Arabidopsis thaliana: one gene and its partner. The protein of the gene in region 2 interacts with the protein of the main gene of each other region in a pairwise test. Each region holds a gene or a part of one and is shown on either strand. Other genes may lie near its edges. The genes, in order: AT1G20910 and SDG14.

Region 1 (15,521 bases), on a different chromosome or scaffold from region 2:
AGATCAGTCTCTCGCCGGAGATGACAGTTTCTATGCGACAATTGGATCGGCGAATACGATTCCGGCGACTTCGGAGAAAGACTCAAAATCGTTGTCGACGATCGCTAGCGTGAGACTTGGGCCTTTGATTAATAATGTACTGATATATTGATTGGGCTAATTTGAGGCCCAATTTAATATACTTGGCTTGTAGACAAAGTGAAAATATAAGCGGATCATGACCCGTCCACGTCACTCTTGCGAAAATCAGGACATAAACTGTACACGTGGTCAGATCTCCACGTCGAGATATCTACGTGGCGAGTTCTAAGGATATTTTGTCCTGTCTTTTTGTGGGGTCCATTTATGGGCCCAAAGGCCTTCGACACTAACTCAGAAAGTCCAAAATAGTAAGGTAAACATGTGGGCTCCTTTATAAACCAAATTGGCAATTTGCCCATGTTGCTTCCTTCCTACTAAATAGTTAAATTCTATTCAATATATCACCTTTATTTTTGGTTTTTAGATTATTATACGTCAATAAAATCACCTTTTAATGTTTACTATATACAAATTATAATATTTAATCCAACAATATTTTCTAACACCTTTTAGTTTGATAGGTTTTCTCCACAAATTGACTAGAAAAAAACAATAAATAGGCATTTAGTTTTGAAAAGACACTTGGTTTTGTTTTATTCTCCGGCTTTTTATTATTATAAAATAATTTAAAAATTGGTGGATGGGGTGGTGGTAGATCACAAGTCGCCAAAGATGTGAGAATGGGATTGGGCATTATCGAAAAAGTTGACCCGTAATTTCTGATTGATCACACTACTTTTGAGTTTGTTTATAAAAAAAAATATAGTGGAGAGTCTGGAGACCACTGATAATAAATTGATTTTTACTAGTTCCTGTAAAAACTTGTGACTTGTGAGCATCATTACGTAGGTAAAAAATATTATTATACACATATTATTTTTATAGTAACATAGGTATATTTGGGAAACCAAGGTCTCCAGGTTGATAGGAGCAATAAAATACTGGTTTCAATTCATACTATTAGAGTTGTCTATGTAGAATCAAATGTCAAGTCAAAGTCGTAAGAGTTATTTATAAATATATATACTATACCTTCATATATAGCTTAATAATATATAGAGAAATAGAAGAGATGGCCACAAAACGCTATGATTAAGGATATGACCATGTAATTATTGATCTGTAGAACAAATTTACAGTCCATTATATTGTTAGATAAATAGATTGATGAATACTTAGTTAGGTTCACGTATTTTATTTAGGTTTGAATCCAAATGATAACATAGTGATAATGTTATCACAAACCATTAATCATATCATGGTACTTAGATTCTCATATTTATTTTTCGAGTAATGTAGATTTATTATCATACGACATACAATACGCAATACTGTAGGTCAATGGAATCAAATCGTTTTTTTTAAGATATAAAAATAATTTATTTATTTTTTACCAAAACAAATGAGGCACAATTTTAAGATTTAATATAGAAAAAATAGAAAAGAATATCAGGGGCGTTTTCATCTATCCACTTTATCAGAAGATCATTGCCAAATATTTTAACTAAAGCAATTTAATTTACTCTAATAATGTGCAACTCATCGTTACGTATTTCTTCTTGTACAAAGCTAACATGCGGGGCATGTTAGATTCCGTGCGACAAACTAAAAAGTATGATTTGATTGATAATTTGATATAAAGAGCTCGATTAGACTTGTTGATTGTTTTCTTATCTAAGGATTTTATGCATCCATATATTCATTATCAACTATGAACTATCAATGAATAATATTTCCAAAGTATGATATTTAGTAAATTAAATTCTGAATTCCTGATAGAAGGGGGAAAGTCTTCACCCGATTGATGTTCGAGTTTTTGGAGAAAATATAATCAAACTTAGCTGAGTTAGAAACTCGTTATAATACATGTTCTTTACTTGGTTTAAAAAAAGCCACGAATTGATAAATCAATACTTTTTAACTAACGTACATAAAATTAATGAGAACTGAGAGTTCAAGACTAGCTAGATTTTTTTTTTCATTTTATATACAGCGAACTCATTGCTTACACTTTCAAAACTATAAAAACAAAATTTAAAGGTGCTGTAGAGAATAGAATCGCTATGTAAGTATAAACTTTAAGGATGGCATTAATATCTTATATACATCTGGCTCGTGGTATTTTGATTGATGAGAAAAGAAAGCAAAAAAAACAAAAGAACATAAATATAGAAGTTAAATTAGCATACTGATTGATGGGTACGGTATCCCTAAATCATCACAATTTTTTGCCCATATTATTTATTGTTAAAGAGGGTATGATATTTAGTCTCACGACCTTTACTTTTTGTTTGATGTTTTTTTTTCTAGATATAAAGAGCCAGCATTTTATTCACCAGTTGTTGGATTTCCCTAAAAGAGATACCCTTTCGTGATCGCATGAGAGCAGACTGGGGAGATACATATATGGAGTAGGGGCGTAGGCTGAAGAAGCAATAGCTAGCCACAATAAAAAGAAGAACAATAACAGCTACAAGATCATCAAGGGATCAATTATGAACCGAAACCAAATTGATATTCTTTAGTGCCTCCGAACCTCACATATCTACTGCATCCTTACGAGATATTTTGGTCGTTGGGAAAAAAAAAAAATATATATATGTTTTGATCAGTTTACGTGTTTGTCGGAACAATTTAGAACTGCTTTTATTCCATGTTTGGTAAATATATAAACTCTTATGGATACCAAGAACTTAACTTAGTTTTCTCTAATGAGTTCTCTAACATTGAATTCCACGCGACAGTAACTGGACGTCTGAATTCATTAATACATATATAATCTTTAATTAATGTGAGAGAAATGTGTTCATGATCTAGACGAGTAGCGACAGCGTCATAAGAACTTAGGTACAGTCACATATTTATAGACTTGGATGACGTGTAGTTCTCTCTCTTTATGGCTTAAAATTAAATTATATATCACATGAAACACCTCTCACTTTTCTGTTTTGGGGGCAAATAAAACATATCTCACTTATTTTCGAAGTATCTTGATAGTTCCACACATTCCGTTTTCGATCGATAGAAAAAAATTGGACCAGTTTATGATTAAAATACCGCACACAAAAGACTTCACGTACGTTTTTGCTTTTAAGCATTAGAAATACGGGCAAAAGACGCGAAAGTAAGTTAGATAGATTCGGGAGGAGTACTGTGATTGGATAAGGTATTGACCAAGTACCGATGATCCGACCGCCTCCACGTGGTCACACAGCTTGGCTTTCACTTTCATGCTCTGACCTTTTGACCGCACGTGACTTTTGTCTGTGCACGTGCGGACCAAGCTAACGTGTCCGGTTCAAGTACATTGCACCGAGCCCTGACTCGCCAGGTTACGCCGATGAAAACGACGGTTCCTGGGTCCCACATGCCATGAGGATGGACGGTTCCGATCCACTTCCTACTTTCCTACTGAGATTGGTCCCACCATGGTTCAGGCCACATGCGTCCACGTTGAGGGAGCTTAGGTGTTACTATATGGGTGCAGTTAAAAATTAAGACAACCAGTCACGGTCCGATATGAGGTCATGCATTAATGGGTCGGATCGAGTTTAGTCAGTTCAATAAATTAAGATGAATAAGTCAATAATTATTTGAATGGGTTGATGCAATTGGTAAGTGTTTTCAGGATTATCGTTTGTTTCCCAAACAATTTTTGTAAATTAAAAGTTTGATATCATTTGTATGAAGATGATATATCAAAAAAAAATTTTACTAATACATTACTCATTCTAAATCAATAAATTATCAGTGTCTAGTTGTCTTTTTCTGGTATATTTTTTTGTCCATGTTAGAAAAAGCGTAGTTCTAATTAGTGATTCACCAAATTCGACATAAGGCAACAAAGTGGAGTACTTATCAATAATTTTTGAAAATATAAAGTAGTAGTATCAACTAATTTGACATTTTGATAATTATCAGCTAGTCTTATCACATTAATGGATCATTAACTTTCTCCAAACTTATCATCAAAAAGGGTCCACTCCGTTTTACGATATTTAAAGGAGTATACATGGGTAGATCTCACTATCTCAGTATAGAACAAAGGACCATTACCTAGATTGATTGTTCTACGTTATGCGCCTTATGCCCTCTTGACAATAAAAGTGAATATAAAGTACTTTAGTAGAACATTGATTCTTTGATATATAATTAGCTCGGGTTTAGCAAGATAATTTAGTAGCAACCAAAAAAAAAAAAAAACACATCACAAGCAGAATTAATCAATTGTTGTTCTGCAGCGCTTAAAAGTGACTAATTCTCTTCTTCTTTTTCTATAGTAAAGATGGTTCGTATCCGTTTGTTTATTATAGAACGTGGGTTCTTCTTAGAATATTGTATTCGCAAGCCATATACTATATATCTATTTTAAATTATTATACATTATATTTTTACAAAATTAGTTGACAAAACTAATAATAATACTATACATGTAAATTTTTTTTCTTTTCTTCTTCTATATAACTCACGTTCTGCATCCAGTTTGAATATGAATAATAACATATATCAGCAGCACTATGCAAATCACAAGCCTACAAATATCTAGTAATAATGCAAGTTTATACTAAGTTTTACAATAAAAAGATGCGTAAGTAAATTAAAATTCTAAATAAAATGACCTATAGTAGTATTTTCTCAAGTAAGAGAAGACTAAATAGTACTATTTCTCATTTTTACTTATACGAAAACCTTTTAATTAAGTTACTAAAACCATAAATAAGTTAGTAACATGATAATAACATTTATCAAATAACTTTTGTTTAAACATAACCTCCACGCGCCTTAAAGGGAATGTAGGATTCGTTTTAATCCTTGTGTACCCAACTTCCACTTGACATTTTTTTTTTTTTTTTTTTTTTGTTAAATGATACGTTTTCTTTAGCTCGTATATAATAGTATCTGATAAACAAATTGACCAAATGTTATCTCTTCTGTTAATCTTATCTCATGCTTTCAAATATAAGAATTCCTTCTCTAAATTTCTTTTGTATTATCCGATTGGAGCCAAACAAAAACTGCGACGAACCCCTAGTTTTCTTTGGTAGATCTTATGTAAGGATAACCACTTACACACATAAATTTTTTTGTCGGCATTTGTGTATATGTAATAAATAGTATTAATTTACTTAAAAAAGAACATATTATTCAAATAATAATTATTATATTAATGATATAATAAAGGGGACTGTTTCTCCGCTAAATTCTCGGTGTATGTCTTTGCTTTTACTTTCCTCGTTCAATGAGAGGACCAAAAATTTATTGCAGAGTCGCACATGAATCTCAAGCTTCTCTCTCCTTTTTTTCCCATAGCACATCAGAATCGCTAAATACGACTCCTATGCAAAGAAGAAGCTACTTCTTTCTCTTGCCCTAATTAATCTACCTAACTAGGGTTTCCTCTTACCTTTCATGAGAGAGATCATTTAACATAAGTCACCTTTTTTATATCTTTTGCTTCGTCTTTAATTTAGTTCTGTTCTTGGTCTGTTTCTATATTTTGTCGGCTTGCGTAACCGATCACACCTTAATGCTTTAGCTATTGTTTCCTCAAAATCATGAGTTTTGACTTCTCGATCTGAGTTTTCTTTTTCTCTCTTTACGCTCTTCTTCACCTAGCTACCAATATATGAACGAGCAGGATCAAGAATCGAGAAATTGATTTGAGCTGGCGAATAAGCAGTGGTGGGATAGGGAATTAGTAGATGCGGCGGCGATGGAAGGCGGTTACGAGCAAGGCGGTGGAGCTTCTAGATACTTCCATAACCTCTTTAGACCGGAGATTCACCACCAACAGCTTCAACCGCAGGGCGGGATCAATCTTATCGACCAGCATCATCATCAGCACCAGCAACATCAACAACAACAACAACCGTCGGATGATTCAAGAGAATCTGACCATTCAAACAAAGATCATCATCAACAGGGTCGACCCGATTCAGACCCGAATACATCAAGCTCAGCACCGGGAAAACGTCCACGTGGACGTCCACCAGGATCTAAGAACAAAGCCAAGCCACCGATCATAGTAACTCGTGATAGCCCCAACGCGCTTAGATCTCACGTTCTTGAAGTATCTCCTGGAGCTGACATAGTTGAGAGTGTTTCCACGTACGCTAGGAGGAGAGGGAGAGGCGTCTCCGTTTTAGGAGGAAACGGCACCGTATCTAACGTCACTCTCCGTCAGCCAGTCACTCCTGGAAATGGCGGTGGTGTGTCCGGAGGAGGAGGAGTTGTGACTTTACATGGAAGGTTTGAGATTCTTTCGCTAACGGGGACTGTTTTGCCACCTCCTGCACCGCCTGGTGCCGGTGGTTTGTCTATATTTTTAGCCGGAGGGCAAGGTCAGGTGGTCGGAGGAAGCGTTGTGGCTCCCCTTATTGCATCAGCTCCGGTTATACTAATGGCGGCTTCGTTCTCAAATGCGGTTTTCGAGAGACTACCGATTGAGGAGGAGGAAGAAGAAGGTGGTGGTGGCGGAGGAGGAGGAGGAGGAGGGCCACCGCAGATGCAACAAGCTCCATCAGCATCTCCGCCGTCTGGAGTGACCGGTCAGGGACAGTTAGGAGGTAATGTGGGTGGTTATGGGTTTTCTGGTGATCCTCATTTGCTTGGATGGGGAGCTGGAACACCTTCAAGACCACCTTTTTAATTGAATTTTAATGTCCGGAAATTTATGTGTTTTTATCATCTTGTGGAGTCGTCTTTCCTTTGGGATATTTGGTGTTTAATGTTTAGTTGATATGCATATTTTGGTTTCTCGTGTTTATTTCTTTTCTTCTCATATCTTCGGTAGATGTTACATGTTAGAGAAATGCATGTGTCTCGTTATGTTAGAAAATTCCTTTCCATATATGGCTTTCTTTTATTCATAGCTAGGGTTTCGTGTTGTACCCTATAACTATTATTATAATTAGCTCGATTTGATAGATATATAGGTCTAGACTATTCAATAATGAGTTCGTTTGTTCTTTTAAGAATTTTGAGCTTCACGGCGTATTCTTGATGAAATATTATGTGGGCACATCTCAGGCGCTCATTTGAATATTTTTACAATACGTCAATACGTTACCTTAATCATAGTATAATATAGTTCTTTCAACTTTTTAACAACCTCAATGTAGTATTCATTATAAGGTTAGAAAATTATTATACATATTGATCAATATATACGTTTTGTGCATCTAAATTCATTATTCGTACCATTTGAGTACTTGTAGCGTCTTTTAGCCGAGTATACCTTTTAAGATCACAACTTCTGTGTCATATCTATCTATCTATACGGTGTTATTGTGTTAAGAGTACTGTCATATATACCCATCTATATATAAGGTGTTAAGAATATGCTTACATATTGATCAAAACGTGCATCGTTCTAAATTTTGTAGTTAACCACTTGCCTGATTAGAACGTCTTTTTAGCCGTTTGTACTTACAGTTGAAAATTCCATTGATTGGTGTAATTGGCTATTTAATTACGACAGGGCCGTCTAAGCGATCTCGAGTCTTACCATCTAGGAAAACAACATGGGCAATTTTTAAACTATTTAGCGTTCATACAGTTTCTAGTGTTTTAAAAATACTACATGTATACCTAGTGGCCATGTTATGACCTTTTTCATTCGATCACTACAGTTACTTAATTACATGCATAAAATATGCATTAATGCTTCAGTTAATTAACCGTCGATCCTGTAAAATAGTTGTATCCAACATTATTCAAAGACAGGTTGGCAACAAGTACGTAGCTTTAAGCTAATATTTATAGGTCACATATGCACAGTACCATTTATGTTATAATCGTAGTTTTTGGTTTGAGATTTCCAACCCCTTAATTTTGGCTGGTATGGAGAATTTGTCTCAACTCTCAACCAACACTTCAAATACATATTCTGCTCTTTCTCAATCTATATATATTTCTGTCCCAACAATTTAAATATATATATGGAATATGGTTTTATACCGGTTTATATATTACTATTTTCGTGTTTCTTCGTCACTACAAAATATGAGTTTTTATATATATATATATATATATTGATAAAAAGAACGAGTAAATGATATTGGGGATACTTGTCTAACTAGAGAGATAAAGAGTGAAATTCTATATTCTGCTAAAACTAATCATATTCGTTAAATAGAATGGAATCATTATCTAACATCCCACTGAAAAGTAAACAAATTCATTCATAGAAGAATATGCTTCTGCTATTATGCAAAATATATAACGAGGGGATTACTTTTATTTATTTCATATCTCATACTACATCTTTATTATTTTCCATTTATTCATCTAATCTTTAACCATTTTTAGAGCATAGTATTGTTTTTTGGGATTTTAGTCAATGTATATTGGTTAAAGACAACCGTTACAGAGCACAGTAGAAACATGAAGTAGAGATTATCTCACGTACGTCGGTTACATACAAATTAGTGAACTTAACATGGTAAGATTAACAATGAACATAAATCATTTGTAGTGTCAGTTAAGAGCTAGTCTCTGTCACAACATAACAAAAAATGGGGTTTTGATTACCAAGATATGTGAAAAAGAGGAATGTTCCAATTCCCTAGGGACATATTTATTGACTAGGAACAAAAGGAAGCTTAAGCAAGTAGTAATATTTTTTTATTTTTCATGAGAAAGTTTTAAAGTTATTTAAATGATACCAACATACTAAAACGAATTATAGTTAACTACTTTCAGGTAGCTTTGTTACGCCTATTCAGCTATAGGTGCAATATGGGCATATGGCAATACATAGTTGGGGTTGTAAAGCTACTAAAATTTTGATGAATATGTTATAACTTAGATGTATGATTATTATTGATTGAATTAGTTCTAACTATTTTAGGATGATTTGTTTTTTTTTTACAACTGATATCATGGAACAAATTGCAGATTAATTTCACAAGTCACAATCTACAGTTCTTAGCTAAATATTATAGTGATCAGATGTCTCTTAGTAAAAAACGTTTTAGCTTTGCCAAAATATATAAAATATAAATTAGAATCAATACATATACTTGGAATCATATGACTTTTTTTTGGGGGCTTGGAGAAAGAGCATTGTAGTTGTAAATATTATCAAATTCCCATGCGGTCATGTCATGTGCCTTACATGCAATTGAGCTACACCAAGTTGAGAATCAGCAATAAAAAACCTTTTTTGATCACTGTGAAGTGTGAACCTTTTTGCATGATTAAAGAGAAAGAAAACAAGTTGAGAATAATGTTTCTTGTCTTAATACTGCAGTATTTTCTGATGACTCAAAAACTAGAGTGAGCTTCAAAACTTTTGAACCTTAAATTTTCGTCATGAATTGATGATACATATATATATATATATATAAACAAGTAATGAACCTTTTTTTCTTTTCTAAATCATATATTCCCGATCATGAACTTTTTAGATTCAGGGAAATGTCAATAAGTTTTTTGCTGTTTTCGTTTTCCCTTTAATAATATGCACCACCAATATATGCATACTTTCACTTTCACTTTTTGAAAACAAATCATCTCAGGAGAACTTTTGAAAACCGAAACGCATGAGAACCTAAAAGTATACTATTGGAAGTAGAACTAGTAGATGGGATAGGCAAATCTATTCATCTCTATTAAAAAAATATGTATAAGAAAAGCATAACATTCCGATTTTAGATCAAAATCATCATTGTTGGTTGCATCCTAAATGTCTTTGGAGCAGTTTCTCCTACTAATCTCAAATTATACAAAAGAGAAATATTACAGTAAGATCAAATGTTTGTTGCATGTTCCTAACTTCAGTCTTCAGATTCAAATCACAGTTACAAAACTGCTTCAGCCGCCTAACAATTTGGTTCTGAAACATATGAATTCCTAGAAGAAACCACGAACAACTGACCAGCTCTCTTGAAATCCATTACTGCTCAAACGGAACTCGTATGAACAACCGTCCATGCATGCTCATGACCGCGGATGTGTGAAGCGGATCAATTCTTGCTGATAAGTCAACAATCTGGTGAAAACATATCAAAATGACAGGAAGGTTCTCAGTCTCTGTATCAGTTCAGTTAATGGACATATCTGGAATATAGAAGAAAGTTTTACCTTTTTGAAGGGTGTAATCCCCCAAGGATTGTCAAGCTGCTCTGGCTGGCCTGTTATAACCACCTTTCCCGCAGGATCTGATTGAATTCGAACCTGAGAAAAGACAACGTATGTTCAGTAATTGGAACTATGTACTGATTTTACCAGAAAATACTTATTGCCTACAACACTGTGTACTGAGACTATGAAACTAAAGCCAACGGATCTGCTTTGGTAACCTACCAAATCGCTTTGTGCTTGCTTTGTATTGTCACAGTAATATGCATTCAAACAAAATTAAAAGACAAGGACTTATCAAGTAGCCTTCAGAGACAGGGTTACAAAGGAGTGCTCACCTCTTTGCGAAGAAGTCCAGGTACCAAGGCAAATATCTCGAAGGAATCCTTCTGTGAATTCAAGAAAAAGGAAAACAGATTTGGTAAGAATTCCATATTGGAAACAAACATCCAGTTTGCAAGTTTTTGGCGTTTCTTTAGCCGTTGGCAGAAGTTACTCACAGATTCTTTGACATTTATCTTCACCCAGTCAGCAACGGGTCCAACATCAACAACCTCAGCAGCCAACCTATCATGACAAAAAGGAAACCTTAACGTTAATCTATAGTAATATGTTCAGGTCCAGAAAATGCTACGTTTTCATCTCATTACTGCTAAGAGGCATTGAAAGAAGAACCAAAAAACTAATATAACTATCTTAGAATTGCAAATAAGAAGGAGAGATCAGCTTTCCGTAACTGTTTGTCAGCTTCATTTGTAACAACATGGTCCATGCTAGTTTGTTGTTTGTGTTTTTGCAGCCCTGAAAAAACCGTTTAAAACATAACGTTAAGCAACCCTCGTTGACAAAATAGCAAAGCCTTGAGAACTATTTTGTACCAATGCTTTTGAGTTTCTTGTGCTTTGGGGTGGAAATTAAGCCCTTATCCTGAAACAAAAGGAGAACATCATTTTACTTCCGAAATAAAAAACGACAAAAGAAATAAAAAGTCTTCTTCTTTCTACATGTGAGTCAGATTCCTTGGTGCATGAAAAAATTCTGCATAATGGAATCACAAAGTGCAGTAAGATTTGAAGTGAAACCTTAACAGCAGGCGCAGTAACCTCTCCAGATCCAACAAGGCGCTGCGCATGCCAACCTTGCATAGCACGAGCTGCAGAATCTCTTCGTGCCCTGCCTGACCCTGAACCTTGATGGCTACTTGGCTACAGCAAAGTCCTTGTATCAGGGAAGAAAAAAATATGGAGAAGGGAAAAAAAGGGAGGCACATGAATTTTCGTTTAGGTTTTCTGCAACTTATATGGTAATTTACTGGGTTATGCACACGGATTTCTTATGGCTTTTGTATCGAACACAAAATGGCTACAGCTTTCTTCAGTCAGATTGCAGATAGTTGGGTTTAAAAGGTTTAGCTGGTATTACATAAATGCTGAAAAATAACTCTTATGCTATCATTTCTTCAGTATCAACGACATTTAATCACAGTACATGAAACCTTCCCACAATAAATTGACAAGTAGATACTCTTCATTAATTTTACGGTGCTAGATCGATCTTCATCCAAACTTTCCATATCTACCATTATTTCTATATATTATTCAGTAGTGTCTAAAATCCAAAAGCCATTTTTTTAGGGGAAATTCATACCTCTTTCTCGACACTGGAAGACAGAATCAATGTTGAACCAGGAAGGTTAAGCTCACCATTATTCCTTAAACACTTTTCGTACTCCAAAAGTGCCTGCAATTGAAGCAAAGATATAGATCATATGTACCTGTATCTATATGATAAGATAGAAAGAAAACAAGCAGTGCATTCAAACTTCGAAGTGACAAAAGAATAGTCCAAAATAAAGAGCTACCTCAGCAAGACAAAGAATTAAACTAACTATTATAACACACCATACTAAGAAGAAGCACAAGGAGAATTGTCTGAAGTGGATAAGTAAAAATGAAGACAGGATAAATATACGATACTTATGCACAAAAACAAACTCACCTTCTCATAGAAATTGCGGAATGTGTAGGAGACTGTTGTGCATGTCCTGAATAAAGATAGTTTAACCAAATGTGGAAAAAGATTAGCATTATGAAAAATTGGTAAAGACTAACGGAGAGTCTAAGGAAAATATCAGCCATACTTGGGAGGATTGAAGGATTCTCCAACTTGCCGCCACAGCTTATTTGTGGTGACCTACATTACCATGAAAAAACAAAGGAATCTTAAAGACCATAAGTCCAGCAGAAGATTAAGAAAACATTGAATATATAATTCCAAATATAGCTAACAACAGTAAAATAAATCAGTTTCCCAAGAAAATATCGAACATTCTTTAATGTTTGATATGTTCGCTTAAAGTCATAAATCTTCTCTGAAAGCCACATCGTTATAGATACTCTTATCATAAATTAGCTTACGGATTCAATAGTTATACCCTATATACAGTTCATATGCCATCCACAATTCAAACAATAAAATGTAGGTGATAATCATACGGGCCAACTTAAATAACCAAGACTTATAAACTGACGAACTAAAAACGATATGGTTTTGGATAATTACCACTTCATAGCCACCTAGGTTCACGACTGCTCGCCAAAGCCTACATTGGATGCAAAAGTGAGGCACTGATTAACCAGATATATGGGTTTATTAAGAACAAAAGCACCACTTTTCCAACAACTCACTTGAGAATGTTTAAAGGCTGTCCATAAAACTTAGGAGGTTTAAATTCCAGGAAACTCTCTTTGTAAAAGGCCTCCACTTCTCTTAGAAACGCCACTTGTTCTACCGGTGTCCCTGCTTCATCAGTTCCCTGTGCCTGTAGAGAAAGGTGAACCAGTAAGTGAACAATCACCACATAATTTTCGACCACAAAACAGTGAAATCCAATCCTGAGAAAACAAAAAGACACAGGCTTTTTGAGCCAAATTGAAAGAAACATAGCCTAGTACCTCAGAATCCAGCAGCCAAGTCTTCCTCTTTTTGGCATTCTCACCTTCAGTCTTAGGACTCAACATTTGCACCCTACGAGTCTTCCTTTCAGAGTGGTCAACAACTCCAACAGCACCACCATTCATGCCATGACCATTATTAGCCTGACCATCTCCAAGAAGAAGGGGCTGCGGGATTTCACTAGGGTTGTGATCATTTTCTGGCTCCAAAGGTTCTTCCTCTAAATACTTTGTCTCAACAAGGGCACCAAAAGTCACATCTTGCTCTTGCATTTCGGTATCCACCATCTTAAGCTTCGATTTCTGTTGTGGAGTAGTCAGTCACAGCAAGACAAGGACAAAAGAACAAATCCAGAAGAAAAAAACGAAGAAGATAAAAAAACTGTATATAACTAACTATTGGTGATTCCAGATTAAACAAAAAGGAATTGTCTTTCTTCTCCGCCTGGAAACTATAGCTTCTCTCTCTCTCTCTCTTCTATCTCTAAACGCAATTAAGAATTGGAGCAAACTCACTCACTCTATTACTACAAAACCTCATCCTAATCAAAACTACCACAGATAAACAAGCCGAGAAGACCTTTCAGCTTCCATAGAATACAGAGAGCAGCAAAAAAAAACATATGCTTACCAGTTCTGCAGCGACGGCGACGGCGAGTAAAGGTTGGTATGAGAACGCAGGGACTCCGACGGCGCGCTAGGGTTTAGCAGCCGGAGAAATTGAAAGAAGCTGGAGGAAGAAGAAGAAGAAGGAGATACAGAGAGAGAGCTGAAAAAGGAGAGACAATTCGAAAGAGGAGAGACAATCTTATGTTAATGGAGGAAGGTATTAGTAAAAAAGATGGGATGGGGGATGTTATGTGGTTTTTAACTTTAATTTGTTTTACACTCAAAAAGTAAACAATTTCTTTTCTTCTTTTTGTATCTATTAGTCTTTTTAGACTTTCTTAATTTTTGGTAAATATAGGATTTGTAACCTTTTATTGTTGTTGAATGTTGGGATTTCTACTATATGTAATAACCACGAAAGATAAACATTGAAAAAGTTTTTTTTTTTTTTTTGCCAAAGGGTGTTATTATATATATGAAACATTGTACAAAACATATATACATAGAAGAAAGGAGCTATATGAAATTTAGGTTTACGAAATTACGACAACGATTACGGAGGAAACAAAGAAGATCGAAATTAGTATAAATACGATACAAAAAATATTAAAAAACTTAGGTTTATAGAAAAGTTTATGAATTAATTTTATATTTTTAACAAGAAGTTCAAGATGATAATTAAAATATATGATGTTGAGACTTGGAAATAAAATTTAGGTTTCATGATTTGGAGTTAAGATGTGAAAACTATATCATAATGGAAATATCTATATATACATGTTTGGAGGGGATTTTTGAAGATAATGTTGAAGATTTGAGCCATAATTCAACAATTAATTCAAATGGGTGGGTTTTACTCGGCTTAACTCTGTTCAGATCCTGGATAACATGTTTAATTCAGTTCTGATCTTGGATAACATTAGTTTTTGGAAAAGTTACCTAAAAACTAATAATTAAAAACGAAAATTAATGATTTAATTACCAAATTTAATATAAACAATATCTCTAAACTAACCATATTTCTTATTTACCTTAACTAATTTCCTAAAATATTTCTACCTAATTTAAACATAAATATATAATTCTTCTTTCAATTTTATTTGATCTTATACTTTATTTATTTTGAATTTATATAAAATATATATAGTTAATAAAATATTATATTTTTTTCTGAATATGATGTAATTCAAATTTTTTAAAACGGACATATATTATTCAACCTATGAAGAAATAATATGTGTACAATGTCCAACATCGCTTAGAAAAATTGGACAATGGTTCAGACCCATATTATAAAAGGACCAAAATGATTCTGATTATGAATGAGCATGAAGCTTGATTTATCAGGCGTCCAAAATTAAAATAGTTATCCGATTTTACTCGGATTTTTTATTTTAAAGAATTAAAACTTTAAAATGTTTCAAAAAATTATAAATATTATAACTTTATCAAATGTTAAATATTATAATTTTAAAAACTTTTTATAAAGTTTATCTTTAAAAAATGCTTTAAATATTTATAATTTTAAAACTTATAAAGTTTTAAAAATTATAAATTGAATTTTACAAGAAATTTAAACATTACAAATATAGAAAAAATATATTAATACGAGATGATATATTACAGGAAAAATCTTAAAAATTGGGTCGATATTGTATTTTTTTAAGTTTCAAATTTTATAATATTGAAATTTATAAGAAAATGACAAAATTATGTTTAATTTCACGGGACTGGATTATATGGTAGGACGGGTTTGGGTGGATAATAATTACGATTTTAGAATGTTCTATATCG
Region 2 (16,959 bases):
GGCAATAGTAATTGTTGTGCTCCAGTTCCTTAAAACGATAACCAAATTACAACTGTCAGTCATTCGGCAGTTGTCCTAACTACTTAGAATCAAAAGTTAAGAAGCACGGAGATGTATAACTGCACCTTAAAGCGCTCATTCGTAATGATGTCGCACCCAGCATGAACCCATACGTTACGCCCATCACAACACACGTAATACATCAAATCACGTCAGCTACATATTGTAGATGTAATAGTTTATAACTCAGGTCAGTATTTCACCGAGCATGGTCAAAGAGACTCTTGCAGATGCCACAATACTGATTGGATTTCCACAACTGAAACAAAAAAAATTGGATTCAACTCTTTTTGGCCAAAGAAAACTGAAGAGTGAGGAAATTTTGGTAAGAACCTTTGAACAGTGTCTGAACCATGCATAGTAGATTAATGAGCAGAAGTTGAGAAAAAAGGATAGTAGAAATAAATGGATATGAGGCCCATATTATTTCAAGCCCAATTGTGTGGGCCTCAGATTTTGTTTGAAGCTCATTAATTTAGGCCTAATGTGGTAAGCCCACATTTATTCTCACCAAATTTTGCCAAACACATATATTTCCTGATATTACCTATTCTGATTATTTTAACACCAATTGCCAAACACATTTATAGAATCCTAAACTTACCAGAAAAAATAATTCAAATAATAAACTAGAATTAATGTGAACAAAACTTGTAATATATAAACTGGCATTGATGCATTTAAATACAAAACAATTAAAATGGTTATATTGAAACCATAATTAAATGTTCATACAAAACAAAGATTTGTAAATTTAGACTAACAAAAGTTAGGTGTTGCAACTGCTTTGACGAATGTCTTTTATAGTGATAAACTAAGTGTTCTAACTAATAATATGTGCTTAGACTAAATTTTGGCTCAAATTCAAATATTTATATGAGTTGATGGCTCTTTTCATCGCCCGTGGTGAATACTAGAAAGGACTACTTTTCATTTTCACCGTAAAGGTAAAAGATTCATACACCCTTGGCATCATCTGTAAACTTTGTTATTTTGGTTTTCTTACTCTTTGTGCAGACTCCATGGTTAGATAACATGCATTGTGTTTGGACAAGTCATTGAAGGTATGAAGCTTGTGAGGACACTTGAATCCCAGGAGAAAGGTTGCAGAATCTATGCCTGCGGAGAGCTCCCGATGGAAGCTTAAAAACCACCATTAAAACCGGTGCATTGTCATTGATATCCTTGTTCTGTTTTCTTATTATGACTATTCTTAATAGAGTTTCTCTTTAAACCTGAACCATGGTTGCAACCATGGCTTGTTGAACAATTGGCTTTTCTCGTCTTTTTTGTCTTCCCATTATTGAACCGGAACATCAAACCAGCTCATTTTTTTTTTTTTTGAATAAAATGTCAAATTATACTCAAAAGAAAAAATATACTTTTTACATCAGCTTTTTTGATATTTTGATAATAAGAGAAACAGAGCTAGATCAAAAACAGAGTAAATAGAATTGAGAGAGCAAAAACAGAGTCTTCTTTCTTAGAGGATGCTATGGACGCATGGCAAACCAGCTCATTTTTCCTACATCTCATTCATTATAAAGCGCAAGTCATCATCTTGCCAAACAGCAAATAGTCTAATTTCGTTATAGAATGGTCCAACACTAAAGCTTCTTAAATATTCATTGGGTTTGTGTTGTGTATATAAGTTCAATATTCAGTCAGATTATTCTTGCAACATATTCTGGGGACAAATAAATGTTACTGAAGAGGAAAAGGATTTGAATACTAGAAATGCTTAAAGCTTTGTGTGACTTTGAGACAATGCACTGTGAAGGAATCAGAGAAGTTGCTGGGAGATTCTGATGGAAACAATGTCACCGTCTGTTCCTGCTTTCATTGTGTGGTACTTCACAAGGATTCCTGCAATTTAGATTTGTAAAAGAATTGTAATTGTGTTTCTTACTTGCTAGATAAAGATGGTTGATTATGCAAAGTGATTTGGACATGTACCTTCGTTTTCTTGCAGTCTTGTGTGAACAGCAACAGCGTGGGGTGCGATAACTGCTTTAGGTTGGGAATCATTTGACTCTCCGGTCCAAGACTTGAGGTTGAGAATACCTATTATTCATGTGAAAATGTATGAGACCCAAGGAGAATGATCTAAAGAGGAGGAGTAAAGGAACAGAAAAGTAATGTAGATTTGAAGTTACCTGAATATGAAGATTCTTTAAGGTGTTTGAGGTCAAATATGGCTCCACAAGCTGCACTTGCGTTTTTCTGCAACTTATGAGATCCGATCAGATTGTAATCCCAGCTTCCATCTTTGTAGCCTTCACTAAGGAAGAGTTCAATGTGCCTAGCATCAAGAGTTTGCATTGTTCCTATACATAGTAAAACAGAAACTCTCTTAGTTGCAATTTAGTTATTTCATAGACTAACATCAATAGAAACAGACTAGAAGTTGATTAGTGTCTTTTACCATCACAGGTACTGAGGTCACAAACAGGGCAACGTACAAGCTGTAAATCTGGAACATGAGATAAGCCATGTTATAGTTTTCTTTTTCTGCAGTAGATAAAGTTTCTAAAGAAATTGTTCTTACCTGCAATCCAAATACCGCTTTTGATGTCGTTGATAAGACATGAACCACTGGATTGTAACATCCGTTCTATGGTTCCTTCCCTTGGGAATTTCAGACGACCACTCAAACTCTCAGTCAGGAGTGAAGTTCGAGAGTCAAGAACAAAGGCACCTATCCGCATCCAATCTATAATGACAGTGTCAAAACGAGATCAAAATGAGGCTGTGATCAGCAAATGAAGTACTTCAAAGTCAAAGATCTGTACAACATCTTAACATGACTAAGAAGAGAGTATGATGGATCCAATTCAAGGACTAACCAATATGCTTCTCCTTCTGACGGAACAAGTAAGAGTGACTCCCATCTGCAGTTTTCCATATCTTTTCTTAGTTTACCATTGTAGAAGAATGTATCATAAGTCCGAAATGGATGTGAAACTTACCAAAAGCTGAAGCATAAATCTTAATCCAGGTGGAAGAAACGGGAAACGGCACAGGGACCTGAAGATCACGCAAGCAGGCAAACCTCCAAACAGTATCCTCCATTGCGATCTTATAGAACCATTTGTTTGTTGCTCCCAGCTTCACCAGTGATTTACCATCCAAAAACCTTGAAATGTATGTCCATATATCTTGCTCATACCTGATTTTGCAGAGAAAATTATAAGATACGCTGATATAGAGACTTAGATCTAAGAAACGTGATATAGCGATGTGATTTTCAAAATTCTTCCTCGTTTGAATCTGGATTCAGTTTTTGACGATTGAAAGCGGAATAATATGAAGAAAAACTCAAATCCCAGGTTTCAGCAACCACACAGTCACGATCAGAGATCGATATAAGCATCTGAATCTCATACAAATCAAATTGATTCCAGAAGGTACCGAAGATGATTGATCGAACTCTATCTCCTAGATCCATCCAATACAGTAAGATTAAACGCCGTACAAACATTTCAAAATCAAATTCGAGCTCAACCCAAACTCACACACACAAATAATATCTGAGAATAGATCTATTTCGTTCATAGGGGAGAAGAAAATACCATGAAAAGCGAGACTGGTAAGTCTGAGCAGAGCACCGTGGAGATACACAGCCACGAATTCCTCTGAGGATCTTCCCGTTCTTCTGGTCGCTGCTCTGAACGATTCTTCTCTTAGCTCTACCATCTTCTTCTCTCTGAATATCGTTCTTCTGTTCGTTGCTCTGCACCAATTTTCTCTTCCGTCCACCATTTCCTTCTCCCACCGGAGCTATCATCTTCCCTCTACTATCTCCTTCGGCATCACTAGATCTCGTCTTCATTCTCTCTCTCTCTATCTCTCTTCTCACTCAGTATCTCACTAGTCGCTAATTTGTTAAGCGGAAAATTGTTTCAGAATTTGGTTTTTGCTCTGAACCGTGTAGCTGTGATATATAGCCGCGAGGGAGACACAGCGAATTTGAAAATTTCGAATGTCAAATGACGTATATACCCCTGTAACAAACTTTCTACCTCTGTAGATTTTAAAATTTTTAAAATACTTTTCAATTTTAGTTAGAACCCGGTTTAGCACCAACAGACGTAGCATTAACCGAGAGGGTCCCAGTGAGTGTGGTTTCCATGATTATGAAAAATCAAGATAGTATGGATTTTTTTTAATAGAAAATTCAGAAACTGTATTATGGAAAATGTTAAAAGCTATATTAACACTTCAACATTTTGGAACTTTAGGTTGTTGGCTGTGAAGTTATTTTCTTAGAGTCGGTGAATTCTAGACATTTACAAAATTGCTACGCCGGAAAAGTATCTAGCTGAATGTACATTTAATGAATCAATCGGAAAGAAGCCAGCATCATGTCAAGGGATTTCCCGTAAGCTAGCCGCCGAGGAAACAAATCGGTTAGCTTCCCACCGCCATTACTGTTCAATTAGAAAGCAAGTTTGAACGTTTGCAAGAATGGTTTAGACTTAAGAGAGCTCTAGTTCATGAATTTGCGGCAGTTTGGAGCTTTACAAAGGCAGGGCACTTTGATCTCTTCAGATTCATCAACCTCAAAGAGATAATCATACCTGTAGAGAAATAGGTTTTCATGATCAAGGTTAATAATGCATATGGATTTAATCTATATCTTATGAAAAGAGAAGCTGAAGAAATGTTTTACGTAAGCTCTTCCCCAGCTGCGACATTGGTTTTTGCAATGAGGACGATTCTGTTGTCTTCTCCATCACCCATACTCACTATACGAGCATAGCAATTGGGCATACACTGCACAAGACATAAACATCCTTAGTATTAATTACCAGGTTTTGATCTCGTGTGCCAATTTAGGGAACTTACTGAATGATTGATCAATCGTGCGATGTTCCCAGAGTCTGTGGCATCAATTACTATCTCTTCGCTTATCTTGAATAGCTGCGTTGTTGTTGTTAGACAATAAGTTACTTATTAGATGCAGCGGTTAATGTTTTAATCTAAGCAAGCAAGCAATCGGAACTTACGTAACAATCTTTGCCCTGCGAACGATAGTTTGCCTCTCTCAGATCTGCAACACTTCTCCTAACTTTCACCCCACGATACTCGATGATCTGCACAAGAATTTTAATAATCAGTAGTTAGTTTGCCTCAAGAATTTCAATTTAGCCATATCAAAACCACGAATAATACAACGTAAACTAAATACCATTTCTCCTTCTTGAATACTTTTCCTTGCAAACAAACCCCATCCATGTATGCCAGATTTACCAAAGCAGACTCGAAAATTTTCTGTCCTCTGAAGAAGATAATATATTGTTTATAAATATTCTAGGATAACAAGATGGAGAAAATATTAACTCTTCATGAATCAATGTTTACCTGCAAATGTTTTAGCCGTTCTCTGAATGATGTAAAATCTGCTTCCTGGTGTGTAACAAGGTAAATGGAAATTAAGATCTTCCTAAGATATTCAGAAAACGTTGCCCCAAGAAAGCAAAACACTGACATGAATGGAGCTCGGAATGAGAAACTTGCCTTAAAAGAGTTTAGATTCTCGATTGCACTCAAAGAATGATGGCTTGGTCCCTTAAGCCTGTGGGATATAGCCTCCAGATCAATCTTCTGAAACGTCAGCAGTAAAAGATATGAAGTAGTAGCTTTGCTAGGGAATAGTTAATAACGAAAGACTCTCCAACGTCCAAGAATAAACAAGATCCCCAGATGCATACCTTTGTGTTTGATCTACTATAGATACGGCATCTTGCTGCAGAAAGAGAATCAAATACACGACTCTGTTCAGCTTGGGTTTGGGTTTGGAAACCTGGAAGCTTCATCTTCTTGGTCAAAACGAGTCTTGAACCTTTGGCGCGCCCATATTGATTCTGAAGCAAATTTCTAGAGCCAAATACTCCTGAGGGTGTGTGCACAACTACAACACTATCTGGATCTGGCTTTCTACATAGTAATGATACAGGCGATCAGTTGGTCCCAGTATCACATAACAGGTCAGTTAAAGAATATGTCGGAGAAACAAACCTGTGAAATGAACAGTAAACTGACTTCCTGGTTCTCTGCACACCATTTTTTTCCAGGCAGTGCAACTAAATTCCATAGACAAAAACATCACTTACACATCCCTAAGATGATTAACTAACAGGACAGAACACCTTTGCAAGGGGTTTAACGTGAAAAATGAAGATTATCATAAGCACAGAGGCTAAGCAGTTTAAGGACTTGACTAACCTCCATGTTGTAACCTGCCCGTGATGCACACATTGCGTGGAAGTGAGTTGCACACTTGCAGCAATGAACGCAGGAACCATGTGTCTGCTTACAAATTGTGCAAACCTAAAAGGAATTTTCAGAAAATATGAATGATGTATAATATAATAAAACTTCTAATAGAACATGTTGGTTATACTTTCCACTTCTAGCATTCATTTATACCTTAAGAAATGAATTTGCTGGAATTTTGAAAAGTCCAACAGCAGGCTCCATATTTTCATGATTCAAAAACCCAACTTCCGGTCGGAACCAAGCACATGTTACATGAACCCACAAACCCTCAACGTCGCTTGGTTTTAAAGCACCACCTACATAATGGAAGAGTTCAGGAAAGAACTAGAAATATGGAAAGTGAGTTCAATTTAGAGCACATCTACCCAAAAGCGAATTCTCAGAATGACTGTATGGAACCTTGTGACAGGACAGTCAAGAATAAAACATCACTAATGCAAGATCAGGAAAAAAATCATAAAGAGAGCTAATTCTGCAGTAGTACCTTTTACAGGACAAAGACAACAATCTCTCTCAATGTCTGGTGTTTCACATGCTCTGCATACCCAGGAAGTGAGGTCCTGAGATTTGCTTACCCCATAACATTCTTGGTGCACAGCCACTTGACACCTGCTTACAGATTTGGTCAGATTTATGACTCATGTTTAGTTATAAGAACGCTGTAGAATTCAGTATAACCAAATTATGCCATTAAAGTAACCTGTTACAGATGATCATTTTATTTTCTTCCCAGTCTTCTACCCATCTGCATACAGCACACCTTTCAGTCGTCCACTTAGCCCTGACTGGCTCATACTTTTCTGTGCATATAAAATAAGTAGTAAGCAAGTATCTTAGCAATTTTAAACTCCAAAAGAAGGACGCCAAGAATTAAGATATACTCTACCTTCTAGCAAAGAGAGCATCTTTTGCTTATCCAACATCTGGGTTTCTAGAGTATAGGTACTGAATTCTGCAATCTGTAATATCTTGTTGTCAGTATTATACTTCTTATAGACATCATGCATGTAAATTTCAGGGGTATATAAGGGAAAGTTTATGAGAGAGTTAAGCATAAGGGATGTACCCATTTTTCTAGAGGTAGCATTGTGTCTTTCACTCTTACACTATACTTCCACTTTTTGGCTCTGCAGCCTGTATGCCGTTCCCATTCACTTGGTGACTGCTTCCTTGACCCACATGAACCACACTTGCACTCAATTCTGAAAACAATAGTTCCAAGATAAATGTGTTGTTTTAATCTCTGGAACAACAAGAGAATGGTAACAGAAGCCTAGGATCAAGCGCAGAATTGTCGTCTTCAGAGAAAAAATCATCTTACGGCATTGCATTGTACAGTCATGGACAAACAAAATCCTGCTCAAATGAGGAAATTGAAATAAAGATGATGCATCTAATACTTACGCATGAAATTTTCTGATATATGTCCCTTCCATGCCATTACAGACTACAGTAATCGCATCAGGCAGCCCAGTCTCTGTTGTCTTTTCTGTAGACCTGTCCCAAAGAGGTTGTGAAGAGGAATTTTGCAAATTAAAGAATTAGCAATAGAACAATGCAAATAATAAAAGCAGGAGAAGATATTTTTTTCGAGAAGACTAAAGTGAGAGAACATGAGATGTTAACAACATACTTAAACACTGAGTTCTGTTCTTCTAATATTGTTGGCGTAAGCTCGTGTTGGACTTTACAATCAGGGCAATAGTAATTGTTGTGCTCCAGTTCCTTAAGATGAAACCAAATTAGAACAGTCATTCGACAATAGTCTTCAATACTTAAAATCAAAAGATAAGATGCACGGCGATGTATAACGGCACCTTAAAGCGTTCATTCGTAATGTTGTCGCATTCAGCATGTACCCATACGTCACACCCATCACAACAAACCTAATACATCAAATCAAGTCAGCTATATAGATATTATAATTTCTTACTCAGGTCAGTATTTCACCAAACATGGTCACAGATATTCTCACCCAATCTCCATCATCTGAAGGGTGCCATATTCTCTTGCAGATGCCACAATACTGATTGGATTTCCGCAACTGAAACAAAAATTTGGATTCAATTCCCGTCGATCAAAGAAAACTGAAGAGGGAGGAAGTTTTGATAAGAACCTTTGAGCAGTGTTTGCATAAAAGCTCTTCCGGTTGTGAGTCTTTAGTCCTTTTTAGAGATTTTAATGGCATTACTGAGCCACAACCGTCGCATGTCCTTATGTCCTCATGATATGAACCCTACACAATAATTAAATCAGCAAATCGTTTAGGGGAAGGTATTTCCAGTAACTATAAAAGAGTCAGATACAAACAGTACATCTACGCCTATGTAGTATGTTTAAACTTCATGACTTAGAACAGAAAGTATATCACCAGACGTAGACACTACAAGATGCTTATAGAACTGTCCAGAATTGATTTACTTTTGTCTTCCCAAAACAATTAGAAGAGCAAACTTGAACATCTAACCAAAAAAAAGAAAAGGAATATGTGTCAAGAAAACGTGCCTGAAATCTAGAAGCAGGTCCATAGTCCTGGTCGGATTCCGTCGCAGAGGAATCTGGGGAGATGATTTCAGCATCTCCAAAATTACCATTTTCTGCTAAAACTGCTTCCTCTAGTGCCTTGTTAAATTCACTTGCCTTGTAATTGAACAAGTTTGTCTGATCCTGAAATCTGAAGAGATGAAAGACTAGTAAGGAACAAGAAACAAACACACAAGTATGAAAGATTTCCAGAAAGAGCGTCTCATGTACTTACTTGTCCATAAATTCCGTAAATGGATACACCATCCCTTGTCTTACCCATGCATAGTCCTGTTAATGACCACAAGTTTTCAGAAAAAAAGATAGTAAAAATAAACGCCAGCTTGAAGACAGATTAGGATTAAAGAGATTACCCTCTGAGTTCCATCCTTGGAGTACCCAAAAAACATGACACAAATTGCGCCAGGGACGCAATGTTTCAAGACCCCATCAGGCGCTTGTGATATCGGATCGATCACCACAGCCGGCCATGCTGGGAATCTTTTCCCACACTTGGCCCACACAAGATCGCCAACCGTAAATTCCTCTGGTTTGTACACGCCCTTACGCGAGGCGTCGGACTTTTTCGGCATACCAAAGTTAGCATCGTCGTAGGAAATTTGAACATCCCAGTAATCGCAATCTACTTCACTGCTGTCTCCGTTATCCTTACGTGGAAACACCTTCGAGTCTTTGCTGCGATGCAATTTCGAGCTTCCACTGAAACCTTTGACCTTCTTCCCCAGAGATACGTCGTCGTCATCATGACTAGACTCCGTCGACTCTCCCTTGCGACGGCTAGATTTCCATGTACCAACAATGGAGTCCTTGAACCTAGAAGGAACCGCTCGAACTCTGCCACGCGAAGACTTGGACTGGTCAGAGCAAACTTGTTGAGATTCTTCTTTGCTTGTCAAGGAGCTTGAGCTACTAGTAAGAAGTTCTGGTTCTTTGCTACATGGTTGATCCACGGTTGCTCTTTGTCTCTTCTTATACACTATAATCTCACCCTTTTTCCTCCCATACTCAATTTCTGAATCAATTTTGCACCGCTTCAGATTCTGATTCTCGAATGTCGTCAAGGTCCGTTTCAAAATCATATCCTACCTAAGCAATCCTCGCCTATTCAACATAAACGACTATCCAAATTCCGATTCCAAAACCCTAATTTCATCAAACAAAACAGATTTCGCACTTCGGACCTCCGGAAGGAAAAAGAAGAAACTCGTAACGTTTAAATTCCTCTCGCAAATTGGCTCAATAGTCAACGAACCCAATGCGAAACCGCTTCTCTAACCCTAAATTCGAAAACGAAAACCAAATTCTCGTTTCCCTCAACAGGATAGAATTAAGAAATCAAACGACGGAGAAATCGTTAAACTCTAAAACGACGGAGAAACAACAAATCCTCCTCGTAGATTCCCTGGAGAAAATTATCAGTCGGTTTCAGTACGGAGAAGATAAAACCTTAAAATCGACGGCAAGGGAAAACAAAAGAGGAGGAGAAGGATCTTTGTGTTCTGATGAAGGAGACACACACCGTCCGTCGTCGGTTTATATATTTCTCCTTATTATTATTTTATGGTTAATTCTGAAATTAATTCGCCTAAACAAATAATAAAAACGAAAATAAAAAAAACGAATATGCTGACGTGGCGGTTGAATGGAACAGTGTTTGGCTCCAGGGATTGGGGACGAGGGAAGACTGCGAATTTTCAGGCGTACGAGAGCGCCAAGTCGAAATCTTCCTTTTCATCAAATCTGACGTGGCGCATCAATAAATAACTCTCTCGTTTTTCTTCTTGTCACACAACTTATTTAGAAAAATCGAAGCTTGTTGGGCTACATATTGGGCCTACGATGTTTCTCGTGGAACATTTTGACAATTAATAAAAGAAACAACTTCGAGTTAGGCCCAATATGAACACTGTATGTTTCTCATGCAACAACATTTTGACATTACCAGACAATGGAGGAAGATGATCCTTTTTTCATTTCAAATAAGACTCAAAACTTATCATCCAATTATACGTTCATGATTTATATGAAAGATGAGAGATTGCATTTGCATACAAAAGGACCATATTTTTGTTAATCGCTCCATAATGTTAGCCTTAGGGTCTAGGGACGTCTATGCACATTTACAAACTCATAAGGAATTAAAGAATTACGTATATTTCACTTTCCAGGAACAACAACCTTCAAAACTCAACTTACATGACAACAAATTGAGATCCAAAAAGAAACAAACCTTAAAAAAACAAATATCACCATGTTGCTCTAAAGTCTAAACCAAGACCGATTTCCACTTGAAAATCATATTGCCGAACCAAAAAAAAAAAAAAAAAATTACAACACATATGGACTATAAAATCAGTGACCAATGATTATGGGGAAAACAAAAAAAGTACCTTTATGTACAAGAAAAAAAAAACAGAAGATCTTGAATCAAACACTAGTACTAGAACTTGGATGTGTCTCAAAAGAGGGAGGGCTGCGAGAAGATGGTGAGCCGATAGTGCCACGAATCCTGAATATTTCAAGAACAACAAAAGCAAGTAACGTGACTGACAGAACAAATCCATATCCAATTTTCCATCCATCTCCTCCATTATCCGCCATTCGAATTCCAAGAACAATGTTCACTGCTCCAAAAAAGAGAGAGATCCTCCCAATCCAATGATGATACCAATTCCAATATCTCCTCATCTTTGTCTCCTTCTGTGGCCGTGCAAAGAAAGCCAAAACCTGAAGAGTGCTAAGGACTAGAAGAAAGATCCCAATGCCTCGATGCGCAGGTATATCCGGCTGGATCCTATTGTAAAGCTGAATCCCAAGAATAACTGCGGCTAAACCGAAGATAAAGCCCGTGAACTGAAAACCGATATGAAGATAGTACCAAAGAGGGTCTTTATGTCTTAGATATCTTGCTAGGATTGCCCCTACAGGAAGTAAGAAACCCCATCCGAGTATCGCCATTACTCCATGTTTTGTCTTCTCCGTAGAAGTTGTCGTCTTTATGGAGGTTGCTCCACTAGCTGCATTGACCAAGAACATACAACTATTGAACTCTCCCCTGTTTTTAACATGTATAGATTAGACTAGTATATACATTATATTACCTTTGGAAAAATCGACGATGACTGTAGTTTTATCATCATGCTTAGTCAAACGGCCTAGCTTGGAAGGATAAGCAGTGCTAAACGCTAGAATGACAGCTCTCCGAGGAACTCTAACGGCGAATTTCACCTGGAAAGCTAAGTAAATCATTGCTCCGTGAAGAGCCACCACCGGCGGGACTTTTTGTAGTTGCAATTCTCCTTGATCCGGCACAACTTGGTCTCTCTCCGTTCCTTGGAGATAGTATTGTTTGATTTTGGCGTGACCCTTTTTCGAAATCCATCCGATCATCGCGCTTGATCCAACCATTCTTCCTTCTTTCGAGAATCCAATCCCAACCCACCCGGTTGTGTATAAAGCCGATACTATAATCGTCATCACATTGTCTCTGTTTTCTGAGTACTGCAAAACAGAGCAAGCAGCGTTGAAAATCAAAATTATGGGTTTTAGGAAAAGTTGGTTTATGTTTTTCGGTTTACCCGTAAGACGAACGTGTTCCAAAGAGGAGTACAGGGCATGTTATCGGAGATATTGCTGTACGGTGGAGGGAGGAAATCGGATAATCGGTTTGCAAAACAGAGATTCTGGGTCGAATCGTTTATGACATTGACGTCATCTGCAGCTAAGAAAGGCAGATCTTGTCCGATTAAGAAACAGAGGATGTAAAATCCGACCAAAGTTTTCATGGTTGGAATCGAAACAGAGACGAGAAGGAGCGAGGAACAATGGAAGCTTTTTGGGTGATGGTTACTTGAAGAAGAAGAAGAGTGATTGAGTTTGGTGGTGAAAGTGGTTGGAGATGGAGATCAATCATAATCATCAAATTGTTTTAAATCAGCTCCGGTTGGATTTTGAGAAAGATACTTGGAGTTGATGTTTCACTGGTTAAGTATCGGACAATTTATGTCCCCTCTGTCACTAAATCGACACGTGAACCGACAGAAAAATACCAAGATGCTATGAAATTATTGCTTTTTCTTTGCCAGTTAAAACAATTGGCAATTGCTATTTGAGGTTGAGAAATTACGAATAGATTTTTAAGATATGGACAATCTGGAGTTTTTTACTTTGCTTATTTAGGGAAAAAAAGAAGAAGAAGACAGAGATGGGAGCGAGAGAGTGGGGTCGTAAACTGGACCATAGTGGGAAGTGGATCAGTCTTAGTCTGAATCATTACTCATTAGGTATATTTGGTCAGGATAGTGCCACGATCAACATCATCTTTTCTTTTCTTGGAGGAGATATTGGAAGGGAACTTGGAAACAAAGTAAACAATAATAAATTAACCAATGAGTACAGCTTTACAGCTTCCATGAGTACCAATCACACAAACAAACAATTTCATTTGTTCGTTGTAAAACACAAACTCAAATGAGAAAAAAGGTATTGTGTTGCAATTGCAAAATGGTAATGTAAAACAATTTAAACAGTATTACTATTACGCATGGCGGGATCGGTATCAGTCAACGACTAAGCGTTTTATGTAATCGATATCATAATTCAAAATTATTCAACTTTAACATAATAAAAGGGATTAACATAATAAGTTAGCCAATATGGGGATGTAGCTCATATGGTAGAGCGCTCGCTTCGCATGCGAGAGGCACGGGGTTCGATTCCCCGCATCTCCAATTTTGTTGATTTTTTTAATTTTAGTTTGCTCTTCTTCTTCTGTTTGCTCTTCTTCTTCTGTTTGCTTGCTCCTTTTGTTCTCTCTTTCCGGTGGTTTAAAACAGAGAGGAGATCACGTCATATGTTTCTTCAGTCCATGAAATCTATTTATTTTTTGAAAAATAATTTGGTCAACCATATTCTACTGCGCCAACCATCGTCTTACAAAAACTTTTATTCAGAAACAATGATAACTCGAACACCGAATACAATGACAAATGGAAAAAAAAAAGAGACAAAAAAATGTAGAAGGAAACGTATCCTAAAGAAACAAAAAATGGAGTGTGAAGAGAGGGTCTCGTCTCTCTACTTGGACCAAGCAACTGCTTCAATATCCGTTTGAGCACTTCTATACAATTCCAGCCTCTTCGCAATCGAAGTCCTTCGCTGCTGAACCGCAGGATCCTCATCCAACAATTTCGACAATTTGCTCATCTATAATTTTTAACACCAAACCATTTTAACATTCTTACTCGTATCTTATACAATTGTCAATTTGCTCATATAGGTTTTTTAGTATATCTTTATTGTTACCTCTTTCTGGCCAAGTTCGGTGAAGAAGATGTCTAGAAGGCTTCGTTTTGCTTCACGGACTTGACAGTAAACAATGGATTTCGGTATGGAGTTTCTCAAGCCAGCGCAGACCATGTTCACATATGACAACACATTTGAGCCGATTCTTCGGAGATAAGCATCGTTGTATCTGTCGAATATCGAATGTGTCGGATTCCCACCTTTTTCAGAATCTTGCGGGAGTTTCCTGAAGAACTCGACCGTTAAGTAACCAGACTCCATGTCCACTAGTAACAGAGTTGCTTTCCTGCTTTCGTCTCTCATTCGATCCAATGAATCCACGGCTGCACCTGATACTTCTACTCTGAGTGTTGGATATTGCTTCAGTTCCTGTAGTCATGATGAAAACACATAATCATGCTTCAAAACTCATAAGTGTTATTGTTGTTGTTGGGTTTATGACTTTGAGCAGAGATATTCTTACAGATGTTTCGCCCATGGATTTGTGGATAAGATCCTTGAGAATGGAATGAACCGCATCAACAGCTGCTTCAGCAGGGCCTCTAATGGAGACTAAGCATGATTCTATGAGCCGGCGATAACCTTGTTCAGGAGCTATGAGATGAGGTTGATATCCATCTGCTTCAGTGATCAGTTTCCGTACATTGTCCATGGAGAGATGTTTGTCGAATTGCAGTCTTTTAATGGCAGCTGGGAATTGATTGTCGAACACAGAATTTATCTTTTCACCACCTGAACGCCTGTAAGGTTGTTAGTGGTTATCAATTATAAAGCTAGAAAATTGAATTAGCAACAATCCAGAAACATGCGGATGACTTACGTGCCATCCAGGTGTTCTTTAAAAGTTTGATCAAAGGCACGGCAAATTTCCATGATCATATAAAGTTTTCCCTGCATTCAGGAGAATGAGTATTAACGAAGGAGGGATGTGAAATGAGACAAGAAACCGAAGAATGAAAGGCTAAAAGGTCCTTAAGACAGAAGATCCTTACACCAGCATCAGCTGCTACAGGCTTCCCAAGACGGCTTAGCTCTGTCTCTAACTCGGAAATTGTCTTTGTGATAAGAGACTGAAGTCCCGGGATTCTAGACTTGATAACAACTTCCAAATGCTGAAAAGTTATAGCTGGTTTTAGAGCAACTACAAAATCTTTTATGCTAAAATCTTCATACATACCAAGCTCCTCAATTATATACCTTAGAGAGCATCTTTCCTAAATACTCTGAACCCATTCTTTCAGTTAAATGTCTGTACTCTGGGCTAGTCTGGAAGTAATCACGTTCACGCCGACGAGCAGCAATCATATCAACACTTTTATTAATGTCAGCTTGAGACCGGTTTACAACACCAACCCAAGGATACCTTAATTTGTATCCCCTTCCTTCAAGTATCTGAAATCTCCAAACATTTAGAATACTTAGGGACTGTTAAATATTCACTAACCATTCTTTAGTGAGATTCTCATATTTATCTTCATTGTGTCCTTTCATAATGCAGTTAGAGATAGATTGCTTGCAGATTAGACGATAATCTTGACTAATGATATGTAGAATGTATTACTATCATCTGAATGTAAACTTACATCAACAGCATTAGTGCCTTGGTCCATGAGATCAATTTTTGTTAAAACTCCAAAAGTCCTGTCTCCTGATAGCATAAAGTGCAGCGAAGCAAACATTAAACAACAAGAATCAATCAATTCGAAATACTATCATCATCTAAGCATTGATGATGCTAATCAATCATATATACAATGCTCCATAGAACTTAAACCATATTTACCATGTCCTAGTCGCTTATATCTCACAAAAAAGAAGCTCAAAGTGAATTCAGAAAGCAGTTGTATCAAAATATAAAAAAGGAAGAATCTGGCACCTTTGGGATCAACTTCACGAGAGATCTTAATGGCATCAGATGTTGCAAGATCCTGATTTGCAGGGGAAATAGCAAGTATGATGCAGTTGGGCTGTCAAAAGGTGAATGATCAATCTTTGTTATTTGCTTGAACACACGACCTTTAGAGGATAGTAGCATCATCTTTCCACAATTGAATTCTGCTACATACTTGTAATTTCTTTCAAATCATAGTTACCTTCTCAATAAACGATCTGACCATGTTCTCGATGTCTTGAACAATGCTTTCAGGCTGGCCATCTACAACATAATTGGCACCATATTTCATTACTCTTTCACTAAAGAGGACTTGGGGTGTGGGATATCATGGAAAACAAAGACTGTCTCACTTACCAACAGCTACCTTTGTTAGCCCAGGAAGATCGACAAGTGTCAAATTCACAACTACAAACATTTGAAGTAAATAAAATCGTTAAGAGTATGGAGACTGGAAGACAAATGGGAAAGATGGTAGAAAACATAAATTTAAGATTTGATTGAATTTCACACCCTGTGTACAAGAACCTAAGGATCCTAAAGCATGTTTAGTTAATTTCTTAATGCAAATGTAGGAAGTACAAAGGCTTCTCTTACCATTAGGAGAGAAGATACTGAGATGAATTGGGACTGTGGATATTACTTTGCTGCTGCGACCAGTTTCACGATCTGTCTCATCCGAGATCTCCTGCCTCACAGCAGCTACATAACAAGGAAGAAGATGAGAAGAATGTGGGCACGTAAACAACACTACAGATACTGCAAGCAGTCACAGGAAAACTAAGGAGCATAAACTCCTCCCAAACAATACCAAAATCTGTGAACTTCTTCTTTGGAAGATGCATAAACTCTGCATACTCTTTCCCTTCATCAATTCT

What was found.
Region 1: the proteins of SDG14 (region 2) and AT1G20910 interact in a two-hybrid assay, tested with the Arabidopsis thaliana proteins (one large-scale study listed by BioGRID).

What each region holds. Positions count from the first base shown.
Region 1 is NC_003070.9:7,267,230-7,282,750, forward strand, and holds AT1G20910 (ARID/BRIGHT DNA-binding domain-containing protein), read right to left. Parts: upstream 14,008-15,521; 5' UTR 13,750-14,007; intron 13,422-13,749; 5' UTR 13,407-13,421; coding exon 13,119-13,406; intron 12,986-13,118; coding exon 12,852-12,985; intron 12,767-12,851; coding exon 12,727-12,766; intron 12,358-12,726; coding exon 12,305-12,357; intron 12,209-12,304; coding exon 12,163-12,208; intron 11,905-12,162; coding exon 11,812-11,904; intron 11,370-11,811; coding exon 11,247-11,369; intron 11,092-11,246; coding exon 11,043-11,091; intron 10,966-11,042; coding exon 10,902-10,965; intron 10,732-10,901; coding exon 10,665-10,731; intron 10,554-10,664; coding exon 10,503-10,553; intron 10,261-10,502; coding exon 10,168-10,260; coding exon of another isoform or gene 10,090-10,167; exon of another isoform or gene 10,076-10,089; coding exon 9,980-10,075; 3' UTR 9,714-9,979; downstream 1-9,713. Other genes in the region: ESC (Putative AT-hook DNA-binding family protein), read left to right, coding at 5,795-6,730.
Region 2 is NC_003074.8:22,846,584-22,863,542, forward strand, and holds SDG14 (SET domain protein 14), read right to left. Parts: upstream 10,390-16,959; 5' UTR 9,966-10,389; coding exon 9,240-9,965; intron 9,157-9,239; coding exon 9,101-9,156; intron 9,017-9,100; coding exon 8,848-9,016; intron 8,579-8,847; coding exon 8,459-8,578; intron 8,387-8,458; coding exon 8,318-8,386; intron 8,229-8,317; coding exon 8,160-8,228; intron 8,068-8,159; coding exon 7,976-8,067; intron 7,840-7,975; coding exon 7,747-7,839; intron 7,545-7,746; coding exon 7,409-7,544; intron 7,302-7,408; coding exon 7,229-7,301; intron 7,143-7,228; coding exon 7,043-7,142; intron 6,952-7,042; coding exon 6,827-6,951; intron 6,639-6,826; coding exon 6,493-6,638; intron 6,394-6,492; coding exon 6,289-6,393; intron 6,147-6,288; coding exon 6,082-6,146; intron 6,001-6,081; coding exon 5,775-6,000; intron 5,668-5,774; coding exon of another isoform or gene 5,665-5,667; coding exon 5,425-5,664; intron 5,342-5,424; coding exon 5,252-5,341; intron 5,157-5,251; coding exon 5,070-5,156; and 8 more. Other genes in the region: AT3G61723 (PHD finger protein), read right to left, coding at 1-28, 126-203; RMF (reduced male fertility), read right to left, coding at 1,844-1,926, 2,017-2,124, 2,217-2,387, 2,486-2,533, 2,609-2,773, 2,907-2,951, 3,030-3,229, 3,633-3,892; AT3G61750 (Cytochrome b561/ferric reductase transmembrane with DOMON related domain-containing protein), read right to left, coding at 11,314-11,903, 11,988-12,387, 12,465-12,671; DL1B (DYNAMIN-like 1B), read right to left, coding at 13,963-14,091, 14,191-14,559, 14,654-14,930, 15,011-15,081, 15,183-15,302, 15,388-15,582, 15,774-15,838, 16,067-16,157 and 4 more. UniProt on the Arabidopsis thaliana protein: Histone methyltransferase.